Linked DNA regions of Alligator mississippiensis. The protein of the gene in region 1 purifies or fractionates together with the protein of each later gene. This does not show direct contact. Links are inferred from orthologs where the notes say so. Each region holds a gene or a part of one and is shown in the gene's direction. Other genes may lie near its edges.

Evidence for each region.
Region 2: the proteins of CHD1L (region 1) and XRCC1 purify together in Homo sapiens (affinity purification with mass spectrometry; 3 studies listed by BioGRID and IntAct, counting the BioPlex papers as one, with this or other methods). This does not show direct contact. The link is inferred for Alligator mississippiensis from reciprocal best matches to the Homo sapiens genes CHD1L and XRCC1.

Annotation. Positions count from the first base shown.
Region 1 is NC_081824.1:251,904,237-251,918,871, forward strand, and holds the start of CHD1L (chromodomain-helicase-DNA-binding protein 1-like), read left to right. Parts: upstream 1-7,322; 5' UTR 7,323-7,392; coding exon 7,393-7,489; intron 7,490-9,601; coding exon 9,602-9,714; intron 9,715-10,494; coding exon 10,495-10,601; intron 10,602-12,108; coding exon 12,109-12,223; intron 12,224-13,315; coding exon 13,316-13,347; intron 13,348-14,635. Other genes in the region: uncharacterized protein LOC102572765, read right to left, coding at 1,693-1,730, 6,192-6,248, 6,368-6,658. UniProt on the Homo sapiens protein: ATP-dependent chromatin remodeler that mediates chromatin-remodeling following DNA damage.
Region 2 is NC_081838.1:29,413,445-29,428,881, reverse strand, and holds XRCC1 (DNA repair protein XRCC1), read left to right. Parts: upstream 1-9,238; 5' UTR 9,239-9,367; coding exon of another isoform or gene 9,368-9,424; 5' UTR 9,425-9,589; coding exon of another isoform or gene 9,590-9,619; 5' UTR 9,620-9,796; coding exon 9,797-9,847; intron 9,848-10,621; coding exon 10,622-10,714; intron 10,715-10,895; coding exon 10,896-11,003; intron 11,004-11,354; coding exon 11,355-11,513; intron 11,514-11,769; coding exon 11,770-11,847; intron 11,848-11,957; coding exon 11,958-12,072; intron 12,073-12,194; coding exon 12,195-12,301; intron 12,302-12,470; coding exon 12,471-12,570; intron 12,571-12,674; coding exon 12,675-12,906; intron 12,907-13,150; coding exon 13,151-13,267; intron 13,268-13,375; coding exon 13,376-13,445; intron 13,446-13,523; coding exon 13,524-13,638; intron 13,639-13,823; coding exon 13,824-13,878; intron 13,879-13,982; coding exon 13,983-14,128; intron 14,129-14,462; coding exon 14,463-14,553; intron 14,554-14,667; coding exon 14,668-14,743; intron 14,744-14,850; coding exon 14,851-14,964; 3' UTR 14,965-15,397; and 1 more. Other genes in the region: phospholipase A2 inhibitor and Ly6/PLAUR domain-containing protein, read right to left, coding at 317-460, 713-868, 951-1,067, 2,468-2,516; phospholipase A2 inhibitor and Ly6/PLAUR domain-containing protein-like, read right to left, coding at 5,344-5,567, 5,860-6,000, 6,408-6,560, 6,854-6,973, 7,755-7,971, 9,368-9,424, 9,590-9,619. UniProt on the Homo sapiens protein: Scaffold protein involved in DNA single-strand break repair by mediating the assembly of DNA break repair protein complexes. Negatively regulates ADP-ribosyltransferase activity of PARP1 during base-excision repair in order to prevent excessive PARP1 activity.

The DNA of each region.
Region 1 (14,635 bases):
TCCTGCAAACACATTTGGACACAGGGGTCTGGGCCCCATTGGTGCCACAGAAAGTTTTACCACTGGCTTCAGAAAAGCCAAGATTTCCTCTGAAAAAGGAAAAAAAAAGGACAAGCACCTTAAAGCAATGTGGAGTTTGTTCCTTTAGCAGATAATATGGTCTATCCCACCAAACTTCACAAACAAGTATTTAAAAAAAATCAGACTGCAAGACAAGAATTGAAAGGAGACACATGGGTGGCTAAAAATTGGGATGTTAGAGGCTGTTTGCCCCTGATGTGCAGTATTTCTCTACCTGGGGCTCCACATGTCATGCCCGAGACTAAGCATGAACAAGAGACCTGCCATGAAAAACCAAGGCCTTGAGAAAAAACTACTCATGACCAAAGACTAAAGCTTATCACCAGTTTGAGAGGGCTTTTCTTGAGATGCTTCAGTATCTGCCAAAGGCTCTTATTCTAGGTGTACTGCCTTTTCTCTTCTAGACAGCATACTCACTCCTATACATCTATTCAGCTTCTTTACATAGCCAAGATCACCCCAGACAGGCTATGTTTACTTTGCTGATAAGCAAAGAGGCCTGCCTGATGCTACAAGAAGCATCTCACTGATCCCAAAACCTTACGATGTGTGATGCCACTCCTGCCAGTGACAAAACATCAGTCCTTGCTCCAAGCAGCAATGCTGTTTCATAACATCTGTGCACCTCAGGTTTGTTGGGTTTTTTTTAAAGGAGGATTTGGCTAGGGTTTTTTCCTCTTTATTCTGACTAGGTAACTTCCAAACACTCCAACGTCCCCCAAACAGAAGCCTTCATGGTATTACTGTGACACCTGAAGACTTAATTCTGGTTAGCATTTGTGTCACAGTACCCACCAAACTAAAAGTAAGAACAGAAACAATCAGTAGAATGGTCTGGAAAGATCAGAGCCAGGAAGCTAACAAAAAGGGAGAAGATACTAGCAGTTGTCCATGCCCACAGAGATAGACAGGCAGTACAGAGAGGAAGCGGAAGTGGTAGCAACCTTTTACTGTGTTAATTTTGTCCCATGGGGGAATATTTATCAACTGAAGACTTCAGTACTATGACAATGATTTTTAAAAATGTACTGGGATCTGCAGAGATGTTGCTCATCCCATTACAAGCAGTATAAGAGAGCTGGATTGTGAGCCTGTTAACTGCATCTCTTTAAAGCAAAGTGCATGTAGTTACAGGGTCCTTCAAGACTGCAGACCCCAAGGAGTCAGTTAGAAGATTAGGTACAGACCAAACCAAAGACAATGAACCCGAACTCCTGAGCAAGAAGTAGGCTTTTAGCCCCCAACTCTTCATCCAACTTCCTGGCTCCCCCCACTAACACTGACCTAGAACACTGGGTCTGTATACCCCACATCTTCAAGAGATGCCTTACTTTTTCACAAAAATGCATGCAGAAGGCACAGAAGCAGCCAGGTGAAGTTTCCATACTCCAAATGGACTATGAAAAAAAAGGGTTAAACCCTCCCTGGCAGTACGATGGTCAGAGCAATTCAAAGAGCCAGTACATGCTTAGCGGATCTGGGCAACTCAACACTAGTCTCTCCGTTAAATGTCCCTAATTATACAGCCTCTCCCTCTAAAGAAGTTATTCCAGATAACCCAGATTTGTTAGGCAATGCAAAGCATGTAGTGTAGATATAGAAAATTCTTACCTCATTAAAAATGGTACTAAACAGAACTGCCCGAAAGCCTGGAGAAGAAGACAGAGGAGATTAAACAGGCAAAACAATATACGACTACCATACCTCCTTTCTCCAACTCTGGGAATACTGGCCAAGCTCACGCCTACTCCAATTTCATAATCTCCCACAGCAAAAAACAGTAGAGACACTGTTTTATTTTAGCTTTGATTCTACTACAACATTAAATTTAAAAAGAGAGACAAGAATCTCATTTATACAACATCAAGAAGCAAGTCAGTGCTTAGCACTATCAAATCTGAACCCGTTTACTAAGTCGTGAGAATTTCTCATGCGTTTCTTTAGGCTCTCCACTAAAAATACTTCAGTGCTAACACCCTCACATTGCCCCATCACTCAGAAGCATGCAGTCCCAGATAACAAGGTTAAGTTATCCATAAGACATCTATAGATTCCACCCCAAAAAATAAAATCTGCAGCTTTGAGCAGAACATGCAAATTCTGGACGAAAAAAAAAAATGTTAGCATATTCCATATGCAAGCAGTTTCCCCTCAATGCCACTGACACTTTTACCCTATTAAACCAGTGAAACTGGCCTCCTTCTCAATCCAATCAGCTCAGTAGGGCCATGTCCAGACACGCAGGCACGTGCAGTTTGTGGCTCCACAAACCAAACATTTGGAATATTAAAATGGGACCAGTGCTGCAAATTTGCAGGGTGGGGGCAAAAATTGCTACCAGGATTTCTAGGTAGCAAAAAAAAAAAAAAAAAAAAAAAAAAAAAGGTACCAGGAAAAAAAAAAAAAAGTGCAGAGGATAGGAAAATACTGTGCCAGAACAGAGGCTTGATCCTCCAGCGAGGCACTCTGACAGCTGGCCAGAGCATCTCTACTACCCCATTTGCGACCCTGCTGCTCCAGCATGCCAGGAGACAGGAAGGGCTGGATTCCGGCAGTTTGCCCAAAGCAGGACAATATATCCCATAACAAAGCACACATAGGCCACGTCCAGACAAGCACAGACATGTGGAGCCGCACATGCAGGTGTTCCTCATATTCTTACTTTGCAGTGTGAGGGAGAACGGGGGGGGTTGACACTGGGAGATTCCCAGGCAAGAAAACCCCCAAAACGGGGTGGGTACATGTGGCAGCAACGCATGCCACCCAAAACCAGAGCCTGGCTGGCTGGAGCTATGCTCCAGCTGCCACCCAGGCTTTCTGCCAAGGTGACAGCCCCAGGAAGCCTCCAGGAAAGGCTACTGGGGCTAGCACAACTGTTGGCCCCAGCCTCCCCTGCCCCACCTAGGATAACTTACCACGCGCCAGAGCGCGTATGGCATGGGTATTCCCTGGGGACAAGGTTACTTGTCCCCAGAGAAACAAGTGTTCCCCCTTGTCTGGACATGCCTATACAGGGTGTGTGCAGAGACAAAAAGTAGTGGCACAAATCTGTGCCGCTACTATTTGTACCACTGCAAATACACACCCCTACACATCTCAATGTGGCTTACATGTTAGAATTTTCTCTGATCCAGACTAGGAACCAAGGCACTCAAAATTGTCTTTACGCTGTTGCTAATGTGTCAGTGCTAAAGGTTATAGATATCAGTTGTTTTCTATATTGAAAATGAAAGACTGCTTAAAAGCACAGGAAGACATTGTGGGGTGGGGAGGAAGGTGAGGGGGAAAAAAAAAAAAAAGAACCATTATTATTTGCTACAATTTCCTATACACTTCTCTAATACCTGCATTTAGCAGGTAGAAATAAACAGCTAGAGCAGATTATTAGGTTTACACTTATAACAGCTTCTGAGATCTCAACACATTTTACCAACATGAATATGGATAGAGAGAGATCACCATGAGGTTTGGAAATATTTTCACTCCCCTGCATTTTAAAAAACGGGAAACTGAGGTACAAAAAAGGAACATGACACAAGAGTGGCAAAGCTAGAGGAAATGAGGAATCCTAGCTCCCACATCACCTGCTTTAGCCACAGTACTATACATCATGAGGCTTCCCCACAGCACCACTAACAAAACCTGTAGCTGATTAACTTCTGCAGTTGTTAAACTCAGGGTCAATGCACAAAATTAAGTTGTGAATGAAGACAGTTCCCAAACTACCTGTTCTTTACATGTGGCAACATGGGCAAAATATCATTATCTTGCTAAGACAAGACATTCTGCAAGAAATTTGTTTTGAAATAAACATCATGGGACATTTCCATCGAGTCCCATACCAAAATCACCTCATACTGTGGCTCAAATAACTCATGTTTGTCAGCACTCCACTGTGTGAGAATTCCATGGCTGTGCCAACTTCAGAGGGAGAAACAACTAGAAGAGCAGGAATAAATCAATGTTCCAGAACAGCTTAACTGGTGAAGCAAGCGTTTAATCTTTGGACAGAGATCCTTAGGTTTCTTGGTTGGGAACACAGTCAAAACCAGCTTAACTGTCAGGATTCTTTTCTGCCCATTATACTTGGCTTCACTTCTAGACTTTCCCTGCAGATGTCAGAACATGTGGGAAACAAGCATTTCTTTTTACCGGGCCCTAGAGAATGCGTGGATCAACAGCTTTTCGTTACAACATCCCACTAGAACTGATCAGACACTGAATTTTTTATTGCCATGTCCCCTGAACAAGTAAAGGGGTAGCTTTGGCTTTATTCCAAAAAACAAAACAAACAAAAACCCAACTCTTTCACCTGCCAGCCTTGCTTAACTGAGCTGTTTAACATTCTTCTGCAAGCTAGGAGGAGAGAGTTGGTTGCATCTGTCCTGCTTTCAGAGGCAACAGCCTGCTTTGTCAGATGCTGTCTAATAAGGAGCCATTCAGCCTGCCTTTTGCAAAAGGCTGCTGTTTGCTGCCTTGTTTACATGCCAACATCTGTACCATTAAAGCTAGACCAGGTGAGAAGATTGTTCCCCAGGCAGCAGATTAGTTAGGCTGTTCTTGTTTTTGGAGCCTTCAGCAGCCGCACACACAAAGCCAACATATGGATTACATTCATTCGGGGATACAGGTTTTAGCCATGTTGATCTACAGTCAAAACCAGTCAGAACTCTTTGTTGAGGCAATATCTTTCATTAGGTCAACTAGGCTAAATTTTGCTTTTTTGTAAAGCCATCTACTTGGTCTAATAAAAGATATTACCTCTACCAAGAGTTCCGACTGCTTTTGCCTGTAAAATCAACACGGCTAAAACCTGTATCCCTAAAACAATGAAGATATCATAATCAGCCGTTTTTAAATGAAAAAAAATGAAGTTAACAAAAAAGCAGCAAAATTCAACACCTGAGACCTGGAGGCTACCACCCCCATGGGCTCCAGCCTTTTGTTCAAGCCAAATTTGCATACCTGCAAAACAGACTTTACACAACAGATATAAAAAAATAAAATAGGAGATGCAAGACTTTATATAATCTTGAGAGGTTTTTTTCTCCCCCCCTATAACCATATTATTTCAATAAAAGTTAGAGAGGTAGAGGGAGATTAAAAACCTTGCCTGCAGTGCTGGAAGCCCAAACACAGTATCTTTGTACAAGAAGCACTTGGTGTTCTATAAACAAACAGCAGATCACAAGAAAATGCAACTATTTAGATAAAGTCACATGCAGAAAGAAATCCTGGCGAATCCTTGAGGCATAATCAGGGGATTTCAATGGTATTCACAGTGCTAACAGACTGCCTGCAGCCAACACAAACATAGTTTGGTCTGTAGCATATACTCCACATTACAATGCATAAATAAGTAAGTAAAAAAAAAAAAAAAAAAGCAATAATGATTACAGTGAACCTTGACTACAAGAAATTGTATGTTTCACTCCCTACTGGAGTGCATTACCTACCCTGGCTAGGCCACTGCAAAGGACCAGCTTATGAGGTCAGGTCTGCAGCTAGGCTGGGACAAGCCAGCCACATAGGGGCCACGTAGGCACAACCGTGGTAAACATAGCAGATTGGTAGTGGTCATAGGGGTAATCACATTATTGGGAACTTGGAGACAGCTTGCTAACAAGAAGCTGCACCTGGACAGCGTCCCTCCTCCTACCGCTAGCCCTTGGTCTCAGAGAGATGTTACTGTGCCGGGGGGGGGACTGTCAAGACCCCCTGATTTCTTACAAGCAACAATCCCCGACCGACAAGCCTCTGGAGTGGTGTTCTACCCTTTCCCTTCACGGGGTACAGGTGTCCTTTTAACCCACATCAAACGCTCTGCTTGAGCAGCCTGAGCAAAGATGCAGAAGCTGTCTTACCCACTTAGCGTCAGGGGCATTTTGATGTGGATGGGTTAAGCAGTGCCTGCCATCCTGGCCCTTGCCCTTTACACAGGGTTTGTTTTTTCTTGCTCTGACCAGCTTTGCCCAGGGCCAGGGCTAAGCCCTGCACACAGGAGTAGGCTGGACCCCCCCCACACACCTACCCCAGCAAGCTCAGGACAGCATGGGCCCTGCCTGGGGGGCACCAGGCGGGCAGCACAGACAGGGCAGAGTGGTACTCACCGTGTTAGCCAGGTGGACAAGCAGCCGCAGGGGCTGGCCAGAGAGCCGGGGGCCCCACTGCAGGGAGGAGAGGAGAGGAGAAAAGTCACAAGGGCTTGCAGCTGGAAAGGCACCAAGCCGGGGAGACCCCACAGGTGCCCCTCCCCCAGCCCACCCTCTAGGGCTCCTCTACTTACTGCGTCCCGCGGGGGCTGGAACCCAGCGGCCCCGACCCGCTCCCGGCACTGGAAGACGGCGCTGGGGGCGGCGGTGAAGCAGCGCACGAAGCCCAGGTAGAGGAGGAGCAGGAGCAGCAGCGCCGCCGGCAGCAGCAGCGCGAGCGCCATGGTCCCAGCGGGCAGGGCAAGGGCGCAGGGGCGGTGAGAGACCCGGGCTGCGACGGCGCGGCAGCGGCGGGGCCGGGATTTGTGGCGGGGAAGCACGTGGGACTGCTGCGGCCCGGGGGAGGCGGGCAGGGCAGGGCACATCCCGGGCCGCTGCAGATGCAGCACTGGCTGCTCTCGCCAGGCCACGGCCAGGCGCCCCCCGCCCCTGCCCGGGTGATTGCCGGCCGCGCGGCTTCCTGGCTACGGGGGTCTGCCCCGCTGGGCCTCACGTGCCCCAACCTTACACGGGGGCGAGGGGGTGTAGGAGGGTGTGGGAGAATAGGTAGGGGGAGGGGTGTGGGTATAGAAGGTGCAAAGGGGTGCGGGTATAGGGGGCATAGAGGGTGGGTGTAGGGTATAGTGGGGTATGGGTGTAGGGAGTGTGTGTGGAGGGGGCGGTATAGGGGGGTGCGGGTGTAGGGACTGTGGTGCTTCTTCTCTGGTGACACTTGCCCCTTGGGGTCGTTTGCTGCTGCCGGCTTCCCCCGTGTGGGCCCCGCTCCGCGGAGGCCAGGAGCGCAAGCTTGGTACCCGCTGGAGGCGCGCGAAGCGAGCGGCTGGCATTGACTTGCACCCCGGATTGGAACGCCAGCTCGTACTGTCACAGCGACTGCCCAATCAGCCACCGCCAGCCCCCAGCCAGCCAATGGCAGTTGACGCGCGACTGGCCTATGGGGGGAGCGTTCCAAGCCATCAGCCAATCCGCGCCTCGCTGCGAAGCCAACTCGATACAATGTTGCAATGCGGCTTCCGGCGCCTGAGCTGCTGGGTGGTGCTGTTGCCCCGGGGGTGGGTAGGGGGCTGCCGGGCCGAGGCAGCGGGAGGCGGCCGGCGGGATGTCTCGCTTCTTCCAGGCTTTTTGCAGTAAGCCCCAAGGGCGGGCAGGCGGCGCGCCCTTGAAGGAGGAGGACTTGTACCACTGGGGCCTGGCAGGTCAGTGCGGCCGGCGGGGCCGCCCCGAAGGAGGGGTTGCCTGTTTGCGGGCTTAACTTGGCTGGATCCGTCAGGGACTTGCCGGCCAGGCCCGGTGGCTTTAGGGTTGGACAGTATCAACCTCCTTGCCTCAGGGTGCTGCGTGGAATCCTCCCCCTTTGACAGTCCTGCCTTGAGCAGGGGCTGGACTAGGTGACCTCTTGAGGTCCCTTCCAGCCCTGCTCTCTTACATAACCATAATGCACCTTGTGGGCCAGGTTCTTCTGTCAGGTAGTGGGTGGAGCTCCAAAGTAAAACCTTCATTCCTTCAGTGGAGCTTCATTGGCCGCATGACATGTCCTGTAACCTCCCTGCAGTTGCTTAGCCTGCGTGGAACAGGGAGCAGAGGTTGTTTTTGTGGAGGTCCTCTGGAGCTGAGCTGCTGTAAGTGGGTCTGTTTAAAGGGAGACCTCTGAAATGAAACAGGTCTCCAAAATCAACTTATCTGCTGACCGGCCTTGTAAGCTTGATGTGGAGAAGGATGGGCTTCCCTAACCTGGGAGAAGGAAGAGGGTTTTGGTTATTTTAATGAAAGGAGAAAAAAATACACACACACACACGCTGTGACTGCTGCAAGGAGCTAGGGTAGAGCTGTGATCCACTGCGTGCACACCCCTGCCCAGAGCATACAGGCTGCAGATTGTGACTCTGCCCCAGCTCCGGACTACGCTGCCATGGCTGCAAGATCCCATCCCGAATGCAAAGCATCTCCATGTCTTGCCACGTGCCCTGCCAGCACTGCTGGGGCGGATCTCCATGAAAACCCCTGCCCCATGCTATCACAGTGTGGCTGCTAAGGTCCCCATGGAAACCAGACCTAGGCTTGTGGGCAGGGGCTGCTGGGAAATGAAGTCCAGCTACCGGCCAGGTCCACCATTTTGCCCATCCTTGATATCCATAGAGTGCCAATTGCTTCTGCTGCTTGACTTTACTGCAGCCAGCTGTGGAGGAGATTGGTGCAGGGGGGTTCTGCAGCCCTGCTCCTCTGGCTGCTGACAAGCAAAACTACGTGATATGGGTGCTTGTGCAACTGCCACCCCTGCAGTTTTCACCCCCCTGTGGTGTAACACATACACATGACATGAGTTTTGCTTTCAAGAATTTGGGGTGCAGTTGCCCCCAAACCCCTGCACCAATCTTCTTGAAACTTGGCAGGCTTTGTGGCCTCAGCAGGGGCTACCGCCCCTGCAAGTTTCAGACAAAAAGCAACAAAGTTATAGATATTTCATTGATTCCCCATTATACCCTATGGCCAGATCTCTGAGGCGGCTCATAAGCTTCGGACGGATCAAAATGGGAACCCGGTCCGGAGCTCCGGAATGGATCCCTGACATCCAAAGCGGCTGGATCCGAAGCCCGATCGAATAGCTGTCCGCTCACACAGGCCTAGTGACCACTAGCTAAGTCGGGTTGCTCTGCTTTGCGCTACGGTGATGATATAACCCTGCATGATTTTTGCTCTATATTTCATAGGGAGCATTTCGCAGAATTTGGAATAATGGCCACGTCCTACCACCCAGTCCTGTGCCTTAACCACAATAACATCCTTTATCCTCAAAGTAGATGGACAGTTTGTAATAAAATCACCTCCAGTTTTTAACAGAAGGCTTTTACTCCATCCCCTTCTGTGAGAGAGAAATTCTGAACTTTGCAGCATGCTGAGGAGGGATAAAGCTATGTTCTGACAGCATGAGGGCACATGGCCCTCCAAGGAAGGGGTTTATCAAGGAAGATGACACCCAAGCAATTTCCTTTTGTTTGATTTCTAGGAGGTTATGGAACTGGTACCTTTACTCACCTCACCCACAGCAGTCCAGCTTGCCAGGGAGGCAAGTTCCAAATCATTAAGGGCTTTCAAAGTTAAAATTGGCACTTTTTGTTCAGCCTGGAAGCTTATTGACAAACAATGCAGATTGCGAAGCACCTGTAAAATATTTTTTTGGCATGAAAGCTGACTTGGTAGGTAGGCCTAATCTGCCCTGTGTTTCTACATCTGCAGGATTACAGGATGCAGTGCCAAGTAGGTTGTGTGACAGTTTTGTGTAGCTTTACCAAATCACTTTTGTGTTTTAGGTATTCAGCTACGTTCCTACCAAGTGGATGGGGTGAACTGGCTAGTACGATGTTATGAAGATCAACATGGCTGCATCCTGGGCGATGAGATGGGTCTTGGAAAGACTTGTCAGGTGCCTCTTTTTATTTCTCCATGGACAATCAATTTTGCCTATATTTTGTCTTCCCAATGTTCCTGCAAGAGGTAGGAGAGGAATTCCTTAAAGTTTATTTAGATTAGGACCAAATATTGATGTCCTTGAGAAGAAAAAGGCCTAAATCTTGATTCCTTCTGCTCTTGCTCAGTTAAAACACTTTTGTTTTTTAAAATAAAAGGCAAAATTATATTCTTAGGGGGAAGACTGCTTTGAAGCTCCTGCTTAGCTGACAACACAACTAGCTATTAGTATCATAAGATGTTGCTTTCGTGACTCTCTGGGTAGATCATTTTACAAAGTTCAGTTCTCAGAGCAGAGATGGTTAGATTTGTATAGCTGTTTCATAGCCTTTTTTTTCCTTGTCAAAATAAGCATTCCACTTCTGTTAAGAATTTGGCAAAGCGAGCTTGGTGTGTTTCTTCAACTGACAGTATTCCCTGAATTTTAAGTGCTATGCAAATTACTCACTTAAAATTAGCATATAGTACATTGCATTCTTTCAACGTTACAAGGGAAAAACATTTCTGAGTAGGGGACAGAGTGCTCCCAGATTAGTGATAGAATTGGACTGCAGCTGCAGTGCATTTGATTAATTCTTTTCCATAGTTTGCAGTGCTTATGGTCAGGGTTTTGCCATAGTGAGCCTGTCAGGAACCAGCAGCAAAGATGGTGTTGGAGGGAAGGTTTGTATTTAGATTGTGGGGTTTGTTTTGGAACTGCTTATTATTGACAACAATTCTTTTCTTTGTGTTCCAGACCATTTCTCTGCTTGTGTATTTGTCTGGAAACTTTATAAACAAAGGGCCATTTCTTATTCTTTGTCCTCTTTCTGTACTGAGCAACTGGAAGGAGGAACTAAAGAGGTGAGCCTTAGGATTATGATGCAGACATTTGCTCTCATATCAGTGAGTTGCAATGATCACTTAGCATATGCTTACACGGCTTATGGTTTTTTAAAATTAAAGGCAAGACACTGAAACATCAAGTTTGTGGCACAGAAAGGCACAGTTCACAGCTAATGCATGGTTTTCTGTGCAACCTTGTGTATTGGGATGTCCCCTGTGGTAGGGTGCATAGTACTGGGTGACTCCTGGCACAGCTGCCCCCTACTTCTCCTGGCTTTCATTGTTAATTGTTGTAACCTCAATGCTCAACATCCCACTGGAGGCAAAGGTTAAGGTCCAAATTAAGCCTGCCCACACACAAGTGTATTTACTGTGTGCACACGGATCGGGTAAGGAGAACACCATTACATCTGTGTGTGTAAGGCAGACCTGTGTGCACTAGATCAGTTGATGGTGTGGCTATTATTCATGTGTTTTAAAACTGCGTGAGTGTTAGAAGAAAAAGACTGCTTTTGAATTGTGGGAATTTGCTGTCTCTCAGGAGGATGTGATAACTGATCAGGCCATGAAGTGAACTGATGTAAATCAACAAGAATTTATTTATTGTGAGGCATGGCTCAGGGAATATACATTGCCATCTATTGTGAGAAGGATATTCAGATATTTATGGTGGGGTGAGGAAGTAAGAGAGAACTCCATTGCGATGACTTCGCTCTCTTTCACAGTACTCCTTCCCTCTCCATCCTATAAAGATTATGAAGGCAGTTCTGTCTTGTGCAGAGGCAGAAAAAACTGGGAAGGATATCCAGCATCTTTTTTCAGTGAAGGATTTTGTTGGTCCTCCTGGAATGTTATGCTGGGGAAAGAATTTCTGTTGATGTTCGTGGGAGCCTTGCCTGGGTGAAGAGCTCTGGACTGGGTTCTATGACTATGACTTCAGTGGGAGCTGTGGGTAGTTAGCATCTCAGGATTGTTCCCTGCAATGAGTGTTCTGGATAGATGTAGATTCCTGCTTGTGCCCAGGGGATCCCTACTACCTTGTAAAAAGAGCTCTTGCTGGAGAAGGAGGTTCGTGTTGGGTGTGGTGTTGGCTGGATTTCAAGGTTCAGACTGGAAGCCATATCCAGAATGAAGTTCAGATTTGGCAGCACTGTTATCTTGCTGCCTTCTTGTGAAATCTTCCACTCAAAGTAGTGGACATCCCATGACAATAGCTGCTGTTCTGCCATGTCCCATCTTGGATGGTAAGGCCTATGAGAATGCTGCCAATTTCATGAGCTTCTGGACTCCTCCACGCGACAGCCAGAAAAACAGGATATAACCTGAGCCCAAACCCATCAGGGCAGGATTGAAAACAGGGACTTGGATCCAACACCATGATTTGGATAAGGGGTTTCCATCTGGGTCCTCTTTTGGTTTTTATGCTAGGTTTGATTGACAGGGTTTGAAGTTGACCACAAGCTTTTGGGGCCTGGAAGGCTCAGCCCAGCATATTCCTTTGTTTTGTTTTGTTTAATGGGAACAGGTTTGCTCCAGGTCTCTCCTTTGTGACATACGTGGGAGACAAGGAGGAAAGAGCAGAGCTGCAGAGGGACCTGAAAGCACCTCTCAACTTCCAGGTCCTGCTGACAACATATGAGGTACCACTCCCCAGCATGAACAGCCTGCTTTCGGGACCCATCTCTGTTTCCAGCCAGGGAAATACTTTCTTTGTCTCCATTATGAATAGTTTGTTCTGGGCATCATTTCACATTGGCAGTTTGGTCTGTTTTTAAAAAGTAAACACATCCACTTGAGTCCAGTAGTGGTGAAAGGTCTCTCAGCTCCCTCTGTTCAGTTTCTCAGTCCTTTTCTCCTTGTTTCTGCCCTCCTTTTCCTTGTTCTGGGGTGTCTTTTGTTTTCTTCACACCTCAGACTCGTTTGTCGTACCGTGCCCCATCCCAACCCCTTCACCTGCTTTTCTCTCCCCCACCTTGTTCCTCCCCAGTCCTAGTTATGCACGGTGAGTACTTGGTATGAGAAGGCTGAAGGGGCTTTCATACTGGAGTGAGCTCAAGGAAACACAGCTTGTAGAAAGAAATAGATCTGGCTTGCATTTCTCCTTTCCCTTTGCTGTCACAACGAGGACACTGCTTTGGAGAAGGCCTTTGTCCTTACACAGCTCAAAGTCTTCTCCGTTTTGAACCTGCAGGCAAGCAGGCTGCATGTGCATACTTGTGACAACAGCAAAGAATCCTGACACGACACATTCATTGTGATAATTTATTTTGATGGTGGGGGGAGGAGGAGAAGTGGGATGTGGCAGGGATATTGAAAACTTTTGATTCTCAAATACGAGAAGAACCATCATAGGAAAACATAACAAAAGTGAAGAGACTGAGACACATGTTTTTCCCAATGTAAAAATCTCTCTTTAACATTGCTGGTTTTTTAAAATTGTATTTCAGATAAGACTACGGCCTGGGTAACTTGTGGTTATTAGAGAATCTCCATGACATTGCCTATAAAAATAGGGTCGGGTTCAGCTACACTAATTGCTTTCCATCTCCTAAACTCTTTCTACAGTTTCGTTGCCCACCCACTAATTGCCATGCTCCTCTCAAGAGGCAGCTGTTGTTTAAAGGGCTGGTGAAGTGATCCCTGTTTGGTTTATCTACCACTTCTCAACACAGAAAATCCCAAAGAGCTTTGCTAACATAACTGACAGGTCATCTCACTTTGTTTGTTTGCAGATTTGCCTGAAAGATGCAACATTTCTTAAGTGGTGAGCTTACTTTTTAAATTATTCAGATTTGTTCAGTGAGCCTATCAGCCTTTTCCTTGGGTTGCTTTCCTTTCAGACACTGTCTGTTTTACATGAGCTGTGGCTACTCTTCACTGGGCACATCTACACAAGATGCTGAATGCACAGAAGACTAATTCTACTGCACATCAGCACAGCAGGCAAAACCCATGTTAATGCGGAGTAGATTTAGTCTAATGCACATTAACATAACTAAAAAAGTGTTCATCTGCACTAATGTGCAGTAGCGCTGATTACAGCACATTAACTTAATACCTGTTATTACAGGTATAAACTTAATGCACCATAATTATGACATTAATCTGCACAGTAGCTTGTTATTGTGCAGTAGCATTGGCAGACGCTAACCATGATGCACTGCTAGCGTGCAGTAGCATCTGAAAAAAATTGTATGGGGACAGTACTGTGCAGTAACAACTGTGAAGTCTGCTGTTTGTATAGATATGGCCGCTGAGTATCAGGACTTTGTTCCTGATCTATTTCAGTAAAAAAAAAAAAATCTCTTCATTTTCAAGAGCGCTGCTGTGTTCTTCCAGTTTTCCTTGAATGAAACAGATGGTTTTCAAGTAGGGGCATAGAAATGCATTGTGTGCTCATCTTACATAACTGGCATGAAGTCAAGGAGTGTTTCCTTATTCAGGTCATCTCATCCAGGGAATCATCATCAGTAATGCCAGCAGAATAGAGTAAACAGAAGCCCAGAGTATCACTTTCTGGTCCATGTAGCTCCGCCATGTGGGTGGCTTAGGTTATAAGTATGAAATTGAGAAACCTGAACTATCTTCTCCTGTGATGATCACTACAACCTCGTAACCTAAATTGTATTGCATGACGTTGAGCATGTCTCTCGTCGTGATGTGCGGGTCATTGTCAAGGAAGCCGAAGCCTGCCTCGAGACACCATTGCCGAACTGCCAGTTGGTCTCTCTAATGCAGTTTTCGTGTTGTCTTCCATGTCCACTCACTGGTAGGACAGAAGAGAATACCACCTGTGCACCGAACTCCCTCAGCACGCCGCCCAGAGCATGGTAGTCCGTCATCAGGTGATCGGGGCTTCTCGTGGCTGCATCGTTAGTACCCACATGGACTAGGACCATGGGGTAGTAATCGGTGGGCTGAATCATGGCCTGGATCATTCCCGTCACGTCCCGAATCTTTGCTCCGGGCAGGCAGTAGACCTCTTGTGTTGAGGGTTCCTGGCGACAAATGGATCCTTCCGTACCTCTCAGAATGGAGTCGCCTATGACAAT
Region 2 (15,437 bases), on another chromosome or scaffold:
AGTTTGGAGGGCTGATTTTTACATGGGGAAAGGTGTGGGGAGCAGCACGAAGGGGATGGGAGCCTGGACACCTGGGTTCTCTCCAGCTCTGGTGCCCAGGGGATTGAGAGCAGGGGGGTCTGGGAGCTCAGACGCCTGGGTTCCCTTCAGCTCCGGGAGGGGACTGGGAGCTGGGGGGTGAGAATAGGTGGGGTTGAGAGCCCAGATGCCAGGGTTCTCTCCAGCTCTGGGAGGGGAGCGAAACTGGGGGTGAGAGTAGCGGTGTCCGGGATGGGTTTTCTCTAGTTCAGCAGAGGGGGGTTGGCGTGAGCGTTACCTGCTGTTATCGTCCCAGTGAACTCAAAGCAATGATCTTCCTCCCCAGTGCAGGGCAGCGGCGTCATGTGATCACAGTGATCGGCCCCCTCTGCAAAGCAGGATGGGCAGGACCGGCCATTGGAGGTGGAGCTCACGGACGGCACTGGGGACACAAGAGGTGAATGGGGCTGGGAGCCCGGACACCTGGGTTCTCTCTCCATTCAGGGATGGCTGTGGGAGTCCTGAGGCCTGGACACCTGTGTCCTCTCTGGCTCTGGCAGGACAGTGGGGTGTGGCGGGTTCCCACTGGCAGCCCGGATGCCTGGGTTCATTCCCTGCTCTGGGAGGGGAGTGCGATTTAGGGGGTGGTTAGAGCAATGGGGGAGGGCAGGGGTCCCACCCCCCGGATACTCACGCTCCACGACCCCTGTGTTGCAGCCGTCCTGGTGGCAGCAGGTGAAGTTCATCCGCATGGCCATGCCAGGCCGGAAGGTGAGGCTGAAATGGCGCTGGCTGCAGCTGCTTGGCTCCAGACAGGACCTGACGGCCACCGAGAGGGTCCGTCCCTCTCCTGGTGGGAACAAAGTATATGTGACCTGTGACCCCTGAGGCCTGCCCCCACATGCCCCCTGCAGGACTCCCCCAGTACTCACCCAAGGTGTAGTGCCCCACTCCGCTCACACAGGCCCCCTCCCCAGGGTCGCAGGGCAGCACCGGGCCAGAGCAGGCAGTGGTAAAAGCAAAGCACTCCTCACAGCGCAGGGCAGAGCCTGGGGAGGCAGGTGATAGGCCGGGTCAGAGGAGGCGTGACTAGAGATGCCCCTCCCCTCCCGCCTCCAGTCTTGCGCCCCAGGCCTCCCTGCTTCTGTTCTGGTGTTGCGCCCTGCTTCATCAGAGCTGCTAAGGGGGTGGGGGCACAAATCCGTGAGGGAGATGGGGGCTGGGGGCTGGGTTCTCTCCCCCACCTGCGCCCAGAGTCTTTTTTCCCTCCGGAAACGCATGCACACGCAGACACATACACACACACAGAACCCAGGCATCTGGGGCGCACACATGCACACACAGAATCCAGGAACACCCCCCCCACACATACACACACACACACACACACACACATACAACCCAGGTGTCACACACACACATGCACACACAATGCATCCGGGACACACAGACACACACAGACACACAGAATCCAGGCGTTTGGGACATTCTCACACACACACATGTGCACGTGTGCATGTCTGGGGGATATGCATGCACACACGCACACACACCCACACACACGCAGGTATCTGGGACACAGACACATGGAACCCAGGTGCCCAGGACACAAATGCTCACACACTCATAGAATCCAGGCTTCTGGTGGGGACACACACACACACACGCACATATACACTTGTGCACTCTGAATCCAGGATGCACACACACACACACACACACACACACACACACAAAGTCTAGGTATCCAACATGCGCACACAGAACCCAGGCATCCAGGACACACACACACACACATGCTCACTCCCTCCGGGCCCACACACTCGTCCTCCCGGTTTCCCTGCCCATCATCATATCTGGGCCCTGGGGGATCTGGCGTTGTGTCCCCCCGCCCTCCTTCATGCTGCCCACCCCCACCCTGCCTATCTCGGCTGAATTCCAGCCCTGGAGGTGACAGCCATCTGTGGCAGCCCCGGGGCATTAACCCTTCCAGGGGCGGACCTGTGCAAGCGGCGGCAGACAGAGGTGACCATAGTGGAGGACCACGAGCCACGTGCTCCAAGCCACGTTCTTGGGGTGGGACAACTCGGTCTAGCGCCCCCTGCTTGGACTCCCAAACGCTGGCCAGAAAAGCCCCCAGGGACCCAGGTATCCTGCATCCCACAGGACCCTAGCCCCATCCCAGAGAAGCCAGGCATCTGGGCTTCAAGCCCTATCCCAGACCCTGCCAAAGAACCTAGGCGTCCAGGCTCTAACCATCCCCAGCTGTTCCTTTCTACCCCCTTGAAAAGCCCCTTCGTGATGAGGCTTCATTGCCTCTGCCGTGCTCCCCCCTCCGGCCAATAAGAAGCCTCGGACACCTGTAGGGTTCTCCCAGAAAATTAATTAACAAGCTCCCAGATCTAATTACCAGCTCCTGGCCTGGAGCCATGGCAGGGGGGAAGCTCACCTGAAGCCAGGAGAGCAGCCAGGAGGCCTAGAGTGAGGAGGGCGCCCATGGCTGCCAGTGTTGGGAACTGTACGGAGCCGGTGGGGATTTATAGGCCGGGAGCCATGAGGTAGAAGGGAGGGGGGCGGAGGCCGGCGCCAGAGCTAATCCCTGGCGCCGAGCTTCCCGTGGGAACTTCCATTGCGTTGCGTCCCTGCCGCCGGCAGTGGGAGGGTCCCTTCCCCATCACTCGCGCCCATGCCGTGATAGGGACGTCCTCCTCGGTATTTGGCGCCTCCTCCTCGACTTGTTTCTTGGGTGCCTGGCCCTTTAAGATGGTGGCCATGCCCACTCATGGCTCTGCCCAGCAGGGCTATATATGACAGGGCCCTGTATCCAGCTGGGCCCAGTGACACCTCTGCCCCCAGCAACCCAGACCAGTTCCCAGCCTACAGGGCGCCCTGTGGAGCTGCAAGTTTGGAAATAGGTTGGGCATCATTGGTGGAGGCCAGAAGGTGAGTCATAGGCTGGCCAACAAAGTCATTGCATCACAGAGATGTTGGGCTGGAAGGGACCTTGAGAGGTCACATCTAGGCCACCCCCTAGATGTGACAAACTGTTCTATACAAACCCATAATCAAAGAGTCAGTCAGAGACGTTGGGCTAGAGGGGACCTCCAGAGGTCAAGTAGGCCAACCCCCTACATGAGGCAAGACCGTCTCTGTCCAAACTATCCTATATAAGTCCATAATCATAGAATTAGAGATGTTGGGCTAGAAGGGACCTCCAGAGGTCACACCTTGGCCGACCCCCTGCCAGAGGCTGGATCATCCCCATCCAAGCCATCCCATACATCTCCATAATCATACAGTCATAGAGACATTGGGCTAGATGGGGACCTCTAGAGGTCAACTAGGCCAACCCCCTACCTGAGTCAAGACCAGTCCTATCCAAACCATCCTATATACATCCATAATCATATGGTCATAGAGACATTGGGCTAGAAGAGACCTCCAAAGGTCACATCTAGGCCAACCCCTCCATGAGGCAGCACCAGCCCTATCCAAACATGAGACCATCAGAGCTGCCATGCCCTGTGTCAGACCCTAGGTCCATCTTGCCCCATCTCCTGTGTCACATGGCAGAGTCAAACTGCATCATCCCAGCCAAGGCTTTGTGTAGCTGGGTGTTCGCCACCTCCAAGGACGGAGATGCCACCACATCTCTGGGTAGCCTGTTTCAGTGCTTTGCTACCCTCCTCATGAGAAAATTCTTCCTAATATCTAACCTCAACTTCCCCTTCTGCAGCTTGCGCCCATTGCTCCTTGTTCTGTTGTCTGTCCTCACTGAGAACAGTCCAGCTCCATCCTCTTAACAGCCACCCTGCAGGAAGTTGAAGGCTGCTCTCAAATCCTACCTCCATCTTCTCCCGGCTAAATCAGCCCAGTTCCCTCAGCTTCTCCTCATCCGTCCTGTTCCTCAGCCCCACAACCACCTTTGTTGCCCTCCTCTGGACTCTCTCCAATCCTTTCTGTAGTGGGGGGGCCCACAACTGGACACAGGTTAGGAGCGGGAGGGGGGACAAAGTCAAGGCAAACCTCCAACAAGTACATCCGATCCCCAGGGAAATTCAAACATGTATCAATGGTCTGTGTATAGGAGCTAACTACTGGAGGGTCATCTTGTATTTGAGGCCAGCTTGCATTTGGGGGTCATCTTGTATTCTGGGATCTTCTTGTATTATAGGTCATCTTATATCCAGGATCGTCTTGTATTCAGGGTTGTCTTGTATTGGAATTGTCTTGTTTCCAGGATCATCTTATATTCAGGGTCGTCTTGTATTTGGGGTCGACCTATATTTGGGGGTCGTCTTGTATTCAGAGTAATGAAGTGTTCAGGGGCATCTTGTTTTCAGGGTCATCTTGTATTCGGAGGTTGTCTTGTATTCAGGGGTCATCTTGTATTGAGGGTCATCTCGCATACGGGGGTCGTCTTGTTTTCAGGGTTGTCTTATGTTCAGAATCATCGTGTTTTTGGTGACATCTTATATTTGGGGGTCATCGTCTTGTATTTGGGGGCCATCTTGTTTTTAGGATTGTTTTGATTTTTTATTTTAGGGTCATCTTATATTCAGGGTCATCTTGTATTCGAGTACATGTGGTACTACATCAACTGGATCAACCCATACCTGGCCTCCATGGGCACCCTTCTTCCTACCCCAGGGTTCTGGCAGCACCCAGGTCCCCCTGCTCCCATCAGGCCTGGGCTGGGGGGTGGGGTCTTTGCCTATCTGTGTAACTGCAGAGGAGGTGGGGGAATTGAACCTGCACCTTCCTGGCCTGGCTGGGGCAGGACCCTTAGCTCCCAGCTAGGTGTGTGTAGGGGGAGGGGGGCATGTCATATCCTATTGTGATGGGACTGATGTTGGCCAATGCCTGGTGGGGAGACCCCCGCTGCCCCTCGTGGGAGACCCCTTGAACCTACCCTTAACCCCTGCCCCCTCCGCAACACCAGCCAGTTCCCCACCCCCTCCCACAGCATCACCAGGGGAATGAGAGACCCATACAAGCCTGTTTCCATGACCCGCCCTGCATGCTGGGGGCAGGGCTTTATTCAGCCAATTGGTTCCAAGGCACAGGGCACAACCGTGGATCCATGGTTGCCAGGGGGACAATGCTGGTTGCCAGGGGGACAATGCTGGTTGCCAGGAAGATGGATACTGGTTGCCAGGGGGATGAAGCTGGTTGTTAGGGGAGTAGGTGCTGGTTGCCAGGGTGGTGGATGCTGGTTGCAAGGGGGTGCAGCTGGTTGTTAGGGGAGTAGATGCTGGTTGCCAGGGGGATGGATGCTGGTTGCCAGGGGAAAAGTGCTGGTTGCCACAGGAAGCTTCCCCACAGTTACTGCTCCCCAGGGGCCGTAGGGGTGGGGGTGGGGGTGGGGGTGGAGGTAGGGGTAGGGGTGGGGGCGGGGGTGGAGCTGAGGTGGAGGGAGGGGGCAGGGCTGCACTCTGCCTTGCTGATGACCTCAGTGAAGACCCCGCTGACCTCATAGACACCGACAGCGCTGACGCAGGCACTACGGGTGGCGCAGCCCCCCAAGGCATAGCTGTAGTTGTAGCTGCCTGGAAGGGAGACACAGGAGGGGTTGGGGGGGGCCAAGGGGACCCCAGTCCCAGGATTGGGGCCCTGGAAGACCCCTTATACTTTCTCCCCTGCCCCCCCCAGCAGCATATTGGCAAGCAAAGGGTTAATGCCCCCAAATCCCCCCAAAAGAGGGGATCTCCCCCCCATCCCCCAAGACAGGAGGTGGGGGTTGGGGGATGGACACCTGGGTTCTCTGGGAGGGGAGTGAGGCCTGGGGAGGATCGCTGTGGGGGTGGGGGGAGCTGGGAGCCTGGACTCCTGGCTTCTCACCGACGTGGATGGCACCAGCTACGTAGAGGCACTGGTCCTCGTGGTCCCGGCATGGGACCCTCTCCTTGGGCTTGCAGGCAGGGCCTTCAACAGCACAGCCTGGGCACCAGCGCCCGGTCAGGACCCCGGGGGCCAGCGGCACTGGAACGGACGGACAGGCGGGGTCAGGAGGGCTCAGGGTAGGGGTCGCCTGGCTTCTCTCCAGCTCTGGGAGTTAAGTGGGGTCGCGGGGGCGGGGGGGGGAATCAGTGCTGGGAGCCCAGATGCCTGGGTTCTGGGAGGGGCATGTGGGTTGTGGGGTGAGAGTGTGGGGTGGCAACGAGTACCCCAGACACCTGGGTCCTCCTCAGCTCTGCATGGGGGGCTGAAAGCAGGGGGTGCTGGGATCCCAGACACTTGGGTCTCCCGTCAGCTCCTGGATGGGAGTGGGGCTGGGGGGTGAGCAGGGGGGGTCTGGGAGCCCGAACACCTGGGGTCTGGGGGGATTCAGGGGCTGGATCCCAGATGCCTGAGTTCCCCGCTGGCTCCAGAGAACGGGGGGTCCATACATTTCACGGCGCCCCGGTTGCAGCCATCATGGGAGCAGCACACGGAGCCCCCCCGCAGGCGCACGCCGGCACCGGCACTGAGCGTGGACGAGCGCGGGGGGCAGAGTGTCCTCGCTGTGCAGCCCTTGAAGGTGTCCACCTTCCCCGGCGTCCCTGGGTGGGCACAGACAGGAGGGACTCGGCATTGCCCTGTCCCCAAACCCCCCCACCCAGGCATCACGGAGTTAAAACCGGCATGAAAATATATACAGTGCCTGGTGTGGCCGGATCCTGGGGGGAAGCGGTATCGACATCACCCAGATCCCCCTGGAACCCCCGGACCACCCTGATCTCTGCCTGGGGGGTCTGTACAGTGCACAAAGCACCCCGATCCTGGCTTGGGGGGGTCCAGACAGCCCCCACCCGCCAATCCCAGCCTGGGGAGCCCCAATCCTGGCCCAACTCACCCCCAATGTGGGTCTCCGAGGTCAGGGTGAAGCAGGCATCCTGGAGGGGAGCACAAGGCACCAGGGGCCCCGTGCATGTGAGGCCAGTGCCGTTGCAGCGATGGCAGCTCAGGGGGGAGCCTGAGGGGGCAGCAAGGGGTGAAAGTGGGGGCCCGGGAGCCCAGACTCCTGGGTTCTCTGGGAGGGGACTAGGGACTAGGGGTGAGAGAGAAGGGGGGGCCCGGACGCCTGGATTCTTCAAGAGGAGAGTGGAGGCTTGGGGGCGAGAGCGGGGGTCTGGCTGCCCGGATGCCTGGGCCCTCTCCAGCTCTCAGGGGGGCGGTGGGGGGGGAGTCAGGGCTTTGAGAGTGCCCAGACACCGGTGTTCTCCAGAAGGGGAGCAGGGTGCTTTGGGGCAGGGGTCCCCGGGAACCCGGGCACCTGGGTTCCCTCCCAGGCAGTGGGTGGAGGTCTCACCTGCACCCAGCAGGGCAGCAAGCAGCCCGAGTGCCAGGGGGGACAGCATGATGGCACTGGGGGCCCCAAGCTGCCCAGAGGCACTTATAGCCCCTGGAGCAGGGGGGTGGATCCGGGAAGCATCCGGGTGCAGGGCAGGAGCTGGTGACCCCCCACCCCCGCTGGAGCCCAGCCAGGTGCAGAGGTTGGCAGCCGGGACGCCTGGGTTCTCTGCCCGGTCCGGGGCGAGCGGGGAGGTGCGGGCTGGCTGGGGGCCCACGCACCTGCCAGGCTTGGCCATGTGTGCAGCTATTCAGGAGAGAACCCAGGTGTCCTGGCTGCCGGCCTGACGCACACCCCGCCCCAGAGGTGGGGGGAACCCAGGCTACTGGGATCCCAGCTCCACTGCCGTGCAAGAGCTGGAAGGAACCCAGGCGTCCGGGATCCCAGCTCCCCCTGCTCCCACCTGTTAGGCTTCCGAGCTGGAAGGAACACAGGCACGGAGCTCCCAGCCGCCCCTGCTCTCCTCCCACTCCACCCAAGAGCTGGAAGGAAGCCTTGCTCCGGGATCCTAGCTCCCCCGATCTCCTCTGCAGGCTCCGGAGGTGGGGGGAACCCAGGCTTCCAGGGTCCCTGCTCCCCGCCTCCACGGCAGGGCCAGTACCCTGGGGGGCCCCAATCCCCTAGGTTGCGCAGGGGGGTTTTGGGCTGGGAGCCCAGACACTTGGGTTCTCTCCGGAGGGGGGACAGAGCGGAGGGGTCAGAGCCAGGGGACCCGCTGGTGCACCCAGAGGTGAAGCTGGGGAGGGGGCAGGAGGAGGCGTGCAGGGGCTAATGGGTTCGGAGCCCAGACACCTGGGTTCTGGGGGCGGGGGGGGGGGGTGGAATGAGGTCAAGGGGAGTTAGGAGCACAGATACTTGGGTACTTGGGGGAGTGAGGTCAAGGGGAGTTAGGAGTGCAGATGCCTGGGTTATGGAGGGGAGTGAGGTCGAGGGGAGTTAGGAGTGTGGACACTTGGGTTCTCGGGGGGAGTGGAGTCGAGGGGAGTTAGGAGCGTGGACGCCTGGGTTCTTGGGGGAGAGTGAGGTCAAGGGGGGTTAGGAGCACGGACGCCTGGGTTCTCGGGGGGAGTGGAGTCGAGGGGAGTTAGGAGCGTGGATGCCTGAGTTCTCGGGGAGTGAGGTCGAGGGGAGTTAGGAGTGCAGACGCCTGGGTACTCGGGTGGGGAGTGGAGTCGAGAGCAGTTAGGAGCGTGGATACGTGGTTTTTCAGGGAAGGGAGTGAGGTCGAGGAGAGTTAGGAGTGCAGACGCCTGGGTTCTCTGGGGGAAAGTGGGGTGGAGGGGAGTTAGGAGCGCTGCCGCCTGGGTACTCGGGAGGGGAGTGAGGTCAAGGGAAGTTAGGAGCACGGACGCCTGGGTTCTCGGGGGGGGGAGTGGGGTCGAGGGGAGTTAGGAGTGCGGACACCTGGGTACTCAGGGGGAGTGGAGTCGAGAGAAGATAAGAGCCCAAGCACCTGGGTTCTCGGGGGGGGGAGTGGGGTCAAGGGGAGTTAGGAGCGTGGACGTCTGGGTTCTCGGGGGGAGGAGTGGGGTCGAGGGGAGGGGAGTGGGGTCGAGGGGAGTTAGGAGTGCGGACGCCTAGGTTCTCGCGGGGGAGTGGGGTCGAGGGGAGTTAGGAGCGCCTCCACCTCGGTACTGTGGGGGGAAGTGGGCTGGAGGGGAGTTAGGAGCCCGGACACCTGGGGTCATGGGGGTGGTGGGGTCGAGGGGAGTTAGGAGAGCCGACACCTGGGTACTCGGGGAGGGGGTGAGGTCTAGGGGAGTTAGGAGCCCGGATGCCTGGGTACTCGGGGGGTGGGGGAGTGAGGCCTAGAGGTGAGAGCAGCGGGGGCTGGGAGCCAGGACTCCTGGGTCCCCTCCAGTTGTGGCGGGGGAGTCATTGGTTGCTTGTGAACATCTGTACACTCAAGCTAGGACCGCAGCGCCGGCTGCACGATGACGTCACGGTCCCCCGGCCCCGCTCATGACGTCAGGCACGTGTGATGACGTAACGCCATGGGGCCGCTGTCAGGTCTACTCTGACGTAGCGGGGCGTCGAGATGGCATCACAGGCAGGCGGAGGGACGAGCGCGGCCTTTAGGGAGGGGGCGGGGGAGCAGTGACATCACTTCATACCCTAAAGACGTCACCCAGCAGTGCGCGTGCGCATGCGCAGTAGCTGCACCTGCTAAGAGGCATGCGCAGTGTCGAGGCGGGACAAGTGGCGCCCGCGGGAAAGGCCTTGCGCATGCGGACGGACCGCTGGAGGAACTGGCGGAGCTTGGTTCATGCGCACGGGCCCGGAATCGGTCGCCGCGTCTGCGCAGAGCGCGACGAAGGACCCGGGCAACCATAGAGTTCCCAAAAGAGGCCCCGTAGCGGGCTTCGCTTCCGGGCTGGGCCGGAGTTTTGGTTCCGGGGCGGGAGGCGGAGGCGCCGACGGGACGGGACGGGACGGGACGGGACGATGCCGGAGATCGCGGTGCGGCACGTGGTGTCCGCCAGCAGCGCCGACCCGGTGCGGGGGAGAGGGGAAGTCCGGGGGGGAGAGGCCATTCTAGGGGAGCGTGGGGGTGGGAGGGACCATTTTTGCATGCTGAGGGAGTGTGGGTGAGACCATTCCAGGGGGTACTGGGTGAGGCCATTCTTGGTGGGGGAGGGAATCTGGAAGGGACCATTCAGGGGTGCTGCAGGGGGGTGTGACTTGGGAGAGATCATTTGCGGGGAACTGGAAGGGACCATTCTAGAGGGCTGTTGGGGATTGCTGGGGGACGGGGATAATTGGAAGAGACCATTCCGGGAGGGACCTTCGGGGGGGGGGGGCAGTGGTAGAGACCATTATGGCATGGGAGCTGGGGGGATGCTAAGAGGGGTGAGAGATCATTGAGGGGGATTGGAGGCAGCCGTGTCAGGGGAGGGGGCGTGTAGTGGCCATGGATGAAACCATTCTAGGGCAGTGGGATCTGGAGAAGACCACTGGGGGGTGGCAGGGACTATTTTAGGTGTTTTTGGAGCGGATCATTTGAAGTGGGGGGTGCTGGAAGAAACCCTGGTGAGGGGAGATACTTTTTGGAGGAAGGGGGAGCTTGGGAGGGGCCATTCTAAGGGAATGTGGAGAAACCATGCTGGTGGGATTTTGAAGGGAGTGGGAGGGACCATTGTGGGAGTCATGGGGGGAGGTCATGCTTGAAGCACATAGAGTGGGAGAATTTATTTTGAGTTGTAACATGTGGGGGGCGGGGGTGGGACTTGGGGTCGTGCCCATCATACTTACCCCCCACTTACGCCCCAGACCCACTGCGCTGAGAACCTGCTCCGACCCGACACCTACCGCAAGTGGAAAGCGGCACAGCCCGGAGAGAAGCAGATCTCGGTCATTCTGCAAGTGAGGACCCCCCAGCCCTGGGTTCCCTCTGGCTCTGGGAGGGGACGCCGGGGGGGTGAAGCGGGGAGTGCTGGGAGCTTGGACACCTGGGTTCTCCAGGGGGGGAACAGTGCAGGCAGCGACAGCCATCCCCTCCATCCCGGTAACCAAACCGTCTCCCCTTCGCCCCACCACCGGGCAGTTTGAGAAGGAGGAGCAGATCCATGGCATTGACATCGGGAATGAGGGCTCGGCCTTCGTGGAGGTGCTAGTTGGCAGCTCGGCCTCCCCCAGCGAGCAGGACTATGAGGTGAGCCCCCCTCCAGCTCCCCACATGAGAAAAGGGAATTGGGCAGGCACTGGGCACCTAAGGAACGGCGGCTGGCTGGGAGTTGTAGTCCTCGCTGGGATTGCAGTTCACCTTGTTTTCTAATGTGGGGGGGAGCCTGTCTTGGTCACCCCCCCCCCCATCACAAGCCTTTTCACCCTATAGGAACTGGACTGGAAGAAGGGGTTCAGATCTTGTTTCCTCCCCATGAGCCTCATTTCCCCACCTTTTTCAATAGCATAAAGGGAGAGCTGCTCCCCCCCCCCCCCCCCCAGCACACACACTTAGGTGCTGGATGGGAGGGGCTTGTGGCTGACTACACCCCCCCCCCAGGTGCTCCTGGTGACCTCGTCCTTCATGTCCCCGAGCGAGAGCCGCAGCGGGTCCAACCTGCACCGTGTGCGGCTCTTTGGGCCTGACAAGCTGGTGCGGGCAGCGGCCGAGCGGCGCTGGGACCGGGTCAAGATCATTTGCAGCCAGCCCTACAGCAAGGTGGGCCCTGCTCCAACTGGCTGGCTCCATCCCCCAACCCGGCCGGTGCCTCTCACTCCTAACCCGCAGCCCCCTGCCCTGACCCAGCCCTGCCAGTGCCCCTCACTACCGACCCGCAGCCCCCACCTGCTCCTCTGTCAGGACGCCTGGGTCCCATCCTTCCTGGAGGAAGCAGGGTGGGGCTGGGAACCCAGACGCCTGGCTTCTTTCCTGATGGCTTGTTTTCTCCCTCTGCCCCCATCCCTCGCAACCCCAGACCCTGGCATACGGCCTGTCCTTTGTGAGGTTCCACTCGCCACCGGACAAGGACAGCCAATCGAAAGTGGCCTCCCCGGTGAGTGACAGCCTCTTGGCCCCACCCTAGCCCTGCTGGTGCCCCTCACTCCTGACTTGCAGCTCTCTGCCCTGCCAGCGTCCCTCACTCCCAACCCACACCCCTTGCAGAAGCTGACCAAATTTGGCCAGTTCAAGGTGAAGGACGAGGATGGCATCTCCGGGTCCCTTAGGCCAGGGGCCTTGTTCTTCAGCCGTGCCAGCAAGGCCCCACCCCCTGACAGCGGTAGGTACCAGGGGAGGGGTTCTGGGACCCCAGATGCCTGGGTTCTCTCCAGCTCTGGGAAGGGTGCAGGGGCTGTGGGGTGAGAGAAGAGGGTTCCAAGCACCTGGGTTCTCTCTCCACAGCCCCCCAAGCCGAAGCCCCTGGACCCAGCTATGCTGCAGCCACACTCCAGGCCAGTGCTGCTGCTGCTGCCTCTCCCGAGAAACCCAGCACCAAGGCCTCACCCAAGGTATGGAGGGATCCAGGCCAGTCCTAGCCCGGGAAGCTTCTCTCACTTGAAGCTGATTTGTGCTATCCCAGAGCCAGCTGTCTCCAGGGCAGTTGCACCCAGCCTGGCCCTCCCCAGAGCCAGTTGCCCCCAGCGCTGTTACACCCAGCCCCCCTTGCTCCTCCCACAGGATCCAGCCCCTGCCAAGAGGAGGTTTGAGCTGGGCAAGGAGAAAGCGGCTCCCAGTGCCGCCCGGAAACCAGAGCCCAAGGCCCCCAAGAAACCCAGGGGTGAGCCTGGGGTGGGACCTAGATGCCTGGGTTCTTTCTGGCTGGTGGGGGCTTTGCCCTTGTTGTGAGCCCTTGTTAACCCCTTCCTCTCTGTGCATCTCCAGCTGTCTCCCTGGGTGCTGTGGCCCCCCCCACACCATCGCCCCGGAAACCACAGAAGGAGGGGACAGGGCTGGGGCAGGGAGTGGGACCAGAGGCCTTTGAGCGGCTGCTGCAGGATGTGGTGCTGGTGCTAAGCGGGTTCCAGAACCCCTTCCGCGCCGAGCTGCGGGACCAAGCGCTGGCCATGGGTGCCCGGTACCGGCCTGATTGGACCCCCGACAGCACCCACCTCATGTAGGTCCTTGGCAGGGGGCCATGAACCGGGGTGCCCAATCCCCCTGTGCTCACCCCACAGCTCTTGCACTGCCCAGAGAACCCAGGCGTCTGGGCTCCCCTCCCTGCTGCACAAGGGAGAACCAGGCACCCGGGCTTCCCCCCACGGGAGAACTCAGGCACCTGGGCCCCTTGCCCTTCCCTTAGATGGGGGAGGAACCCAGGTGTCTGAGCCGCCCCCCCCCCCCTTTTTTTGCCCCCTCAGCTGTGCCTTTGCCAACACTCCCAAGTACAGCCAAGTGAAGCGCCTGGGGGGCATCATCCTGCGCAAGGAGTGGGTGCTGGACTGCCACCGCACCCGGCGCCGCCTCCCCGTCAAGAGGTGAAAGGAGTGGGGCTAACAGGGTGGGGCCTGCTGTGGAAGGGGTTAAATAGGGAGGGGGTTAATAGGGGCTGCAGAGACATTGTGGGCAATCCTTCCCCCCCCCAGGTACCTGATGGACGGGGCTGCATCATCCAGCAGTGAGGAAGGGAGTGAGAATGAGGCCTCCCCTGGCCAGGTAGGCCCAGATGCCTGGGTTTTCTGCAGCTCCTCGGGGAGGGGGACAGGGGGCCCTGGACACCTGGGTCCCCTCCAGCTCCCCTCTGCCCCACAGGGAGCTGAGGACCCCCGGCTACAGCGGCCAGACGCCCCTGGGGACAAAGCAGAGCCCAGCACCTCTCAGACCTGCCCTGAGCGCGATGGCCGCCTAGGTAGGTACAGGATGTCAGCATCTGCTCCTCTTCCCACTGCCGGTTCTCATCCCGTAGATCCCTCTCCCCTCCCAGAGCTGGAAAGAACCCAGGCATCCTGTCCCCCGACCTCTTCCCCCCCATGAGCCTTTGCAGTGCCTGGGGTTCAGCTTTTTCCCTCTTGTTTCTGCACCCCCCCCCCCCAGGTTTGAGTGACGGCAGCGAGGACGAATCAGGGGACACAGATGATGAGCTGCGCAGGTGGGGGCAGGAGTCCAGGGCAGTGATCCGGGACACCTGGGTTCTCTCTTCATGGGGAGAGGGGGGATACCTGGGTTCTCTGTCCCCATTTCTAACTGCCCCAGGGTGGAGGAGGAGCACCGCAAGAAGCAGCAGGGGGGTCGGGATCCTGGCGCCAACCCCAATGATGACCCCTATGGTGGCTCCACTGACGAGAACACGGAGGACGAGGGGCAGAGCCCCAGTGACCAGCCAATCCCGGAGCTGCCTGGTAGGCTGAGGGGTGGGGTTTGGGGTGATCTTACCCCTAGGGGGCAGTAATCTCAGTGGGAGGGGCAATAATTTCAGTGGGGGGCTAATCCAAATTAAGGGAGATACCAGATATTTTGCATTAGGGGGGTTTAATCCAGATTAGTTTGACCCCACTTCTTTGTTTTGTGGGGTGGGTCAGCTGCCCTGGGTTAAGGGGGCATATCTTGGCCAGACTGCGGCAATTCAGCCCCCTACCCTGGCCTAATTTGTCCCCCACACCGAAATGATTACCCTCCAACTGAGTTTACTGTTCTCCCACTGAGGTTATTGTCCCCCACATTGCCCCCCCTCAGACCTTTTCGTGGGCAAGGGCTTCTTCCTCTACGGCGAGTTCCCGGCCCATGAGCGCCGCCTGCTGACGCGCTACATCACGGCCTTCAATGGGTGAGCGGCCCAGACACCTGGGTTCCCTATGGCTGGGGCCGGGGGAAGCCCAGACAGCTGGGTTCCCTTGGAGGGGGTTGGACTCAGGCTCCCCACCCCTTCCCCCCACCCCAGGGAGCTGGAGGACTACATGAACGACCGTGTCAACTATGTTGTCACCGCACAGGATTGGGACCAGGCCTTTGAGGAGGTGAGTGGGCGCTGGACACCTGGGTTCCCTTCTGCTCCAGGAGGGGGAAGGGGCTATCCTGGACTTCTGGGCTCCTAACGTGTATGTGTGTGTGTGTGTACCCCCAGGCGCTGCACGCCCATGCCGGCCTGGCCTTTGTGCGCCCACGCTGGATCTTCGCCTGCGGCCGGCGCCGCCGCCTGGTCCCACACCAGCCATTCACCGTGGGGCCCTGCGCCTAGGGATGGGGTGGAGCTAAGGTCGACCATGACCCGTCCTGCTGGGGGCAGGGCCACCTGATCCCCAAGGAGGGGGTTTGCCCCCCTTCTCTGGCTTGCCTTGTACCCAGACCCCAGGGTCTGCCAGCTGCCCCTGGATGCCTGGGTTCTATGCATCAGTCTGTGTCCTGGATGTCTGAGGTGGCGCAGCCCCGTACTCCCAGGTTGTCTGGCTGTTCCCCCCGAAGTCTGGGTTTGCTAAAACAGGCTGGCCTGTGGTGGGTTTGTGCCTAAGGGATTTAGTGGGGGGTGCTTCTCATGGGTCCCCAATGCCTGGGTCCCCCTCTGTGCCCTCTGCCCTCAGGATCCAAGGCTGGATGGATTTGCGGGGGGATCGCCTCACCCTCCACTTTGGGGGCAGTTTCTGGTTTTTCTAAATTAAATTCAGTTGTAGCAAGCCGGGTAGCAGTGTGGTGATGGGGCTGTGGGTCAGGAGT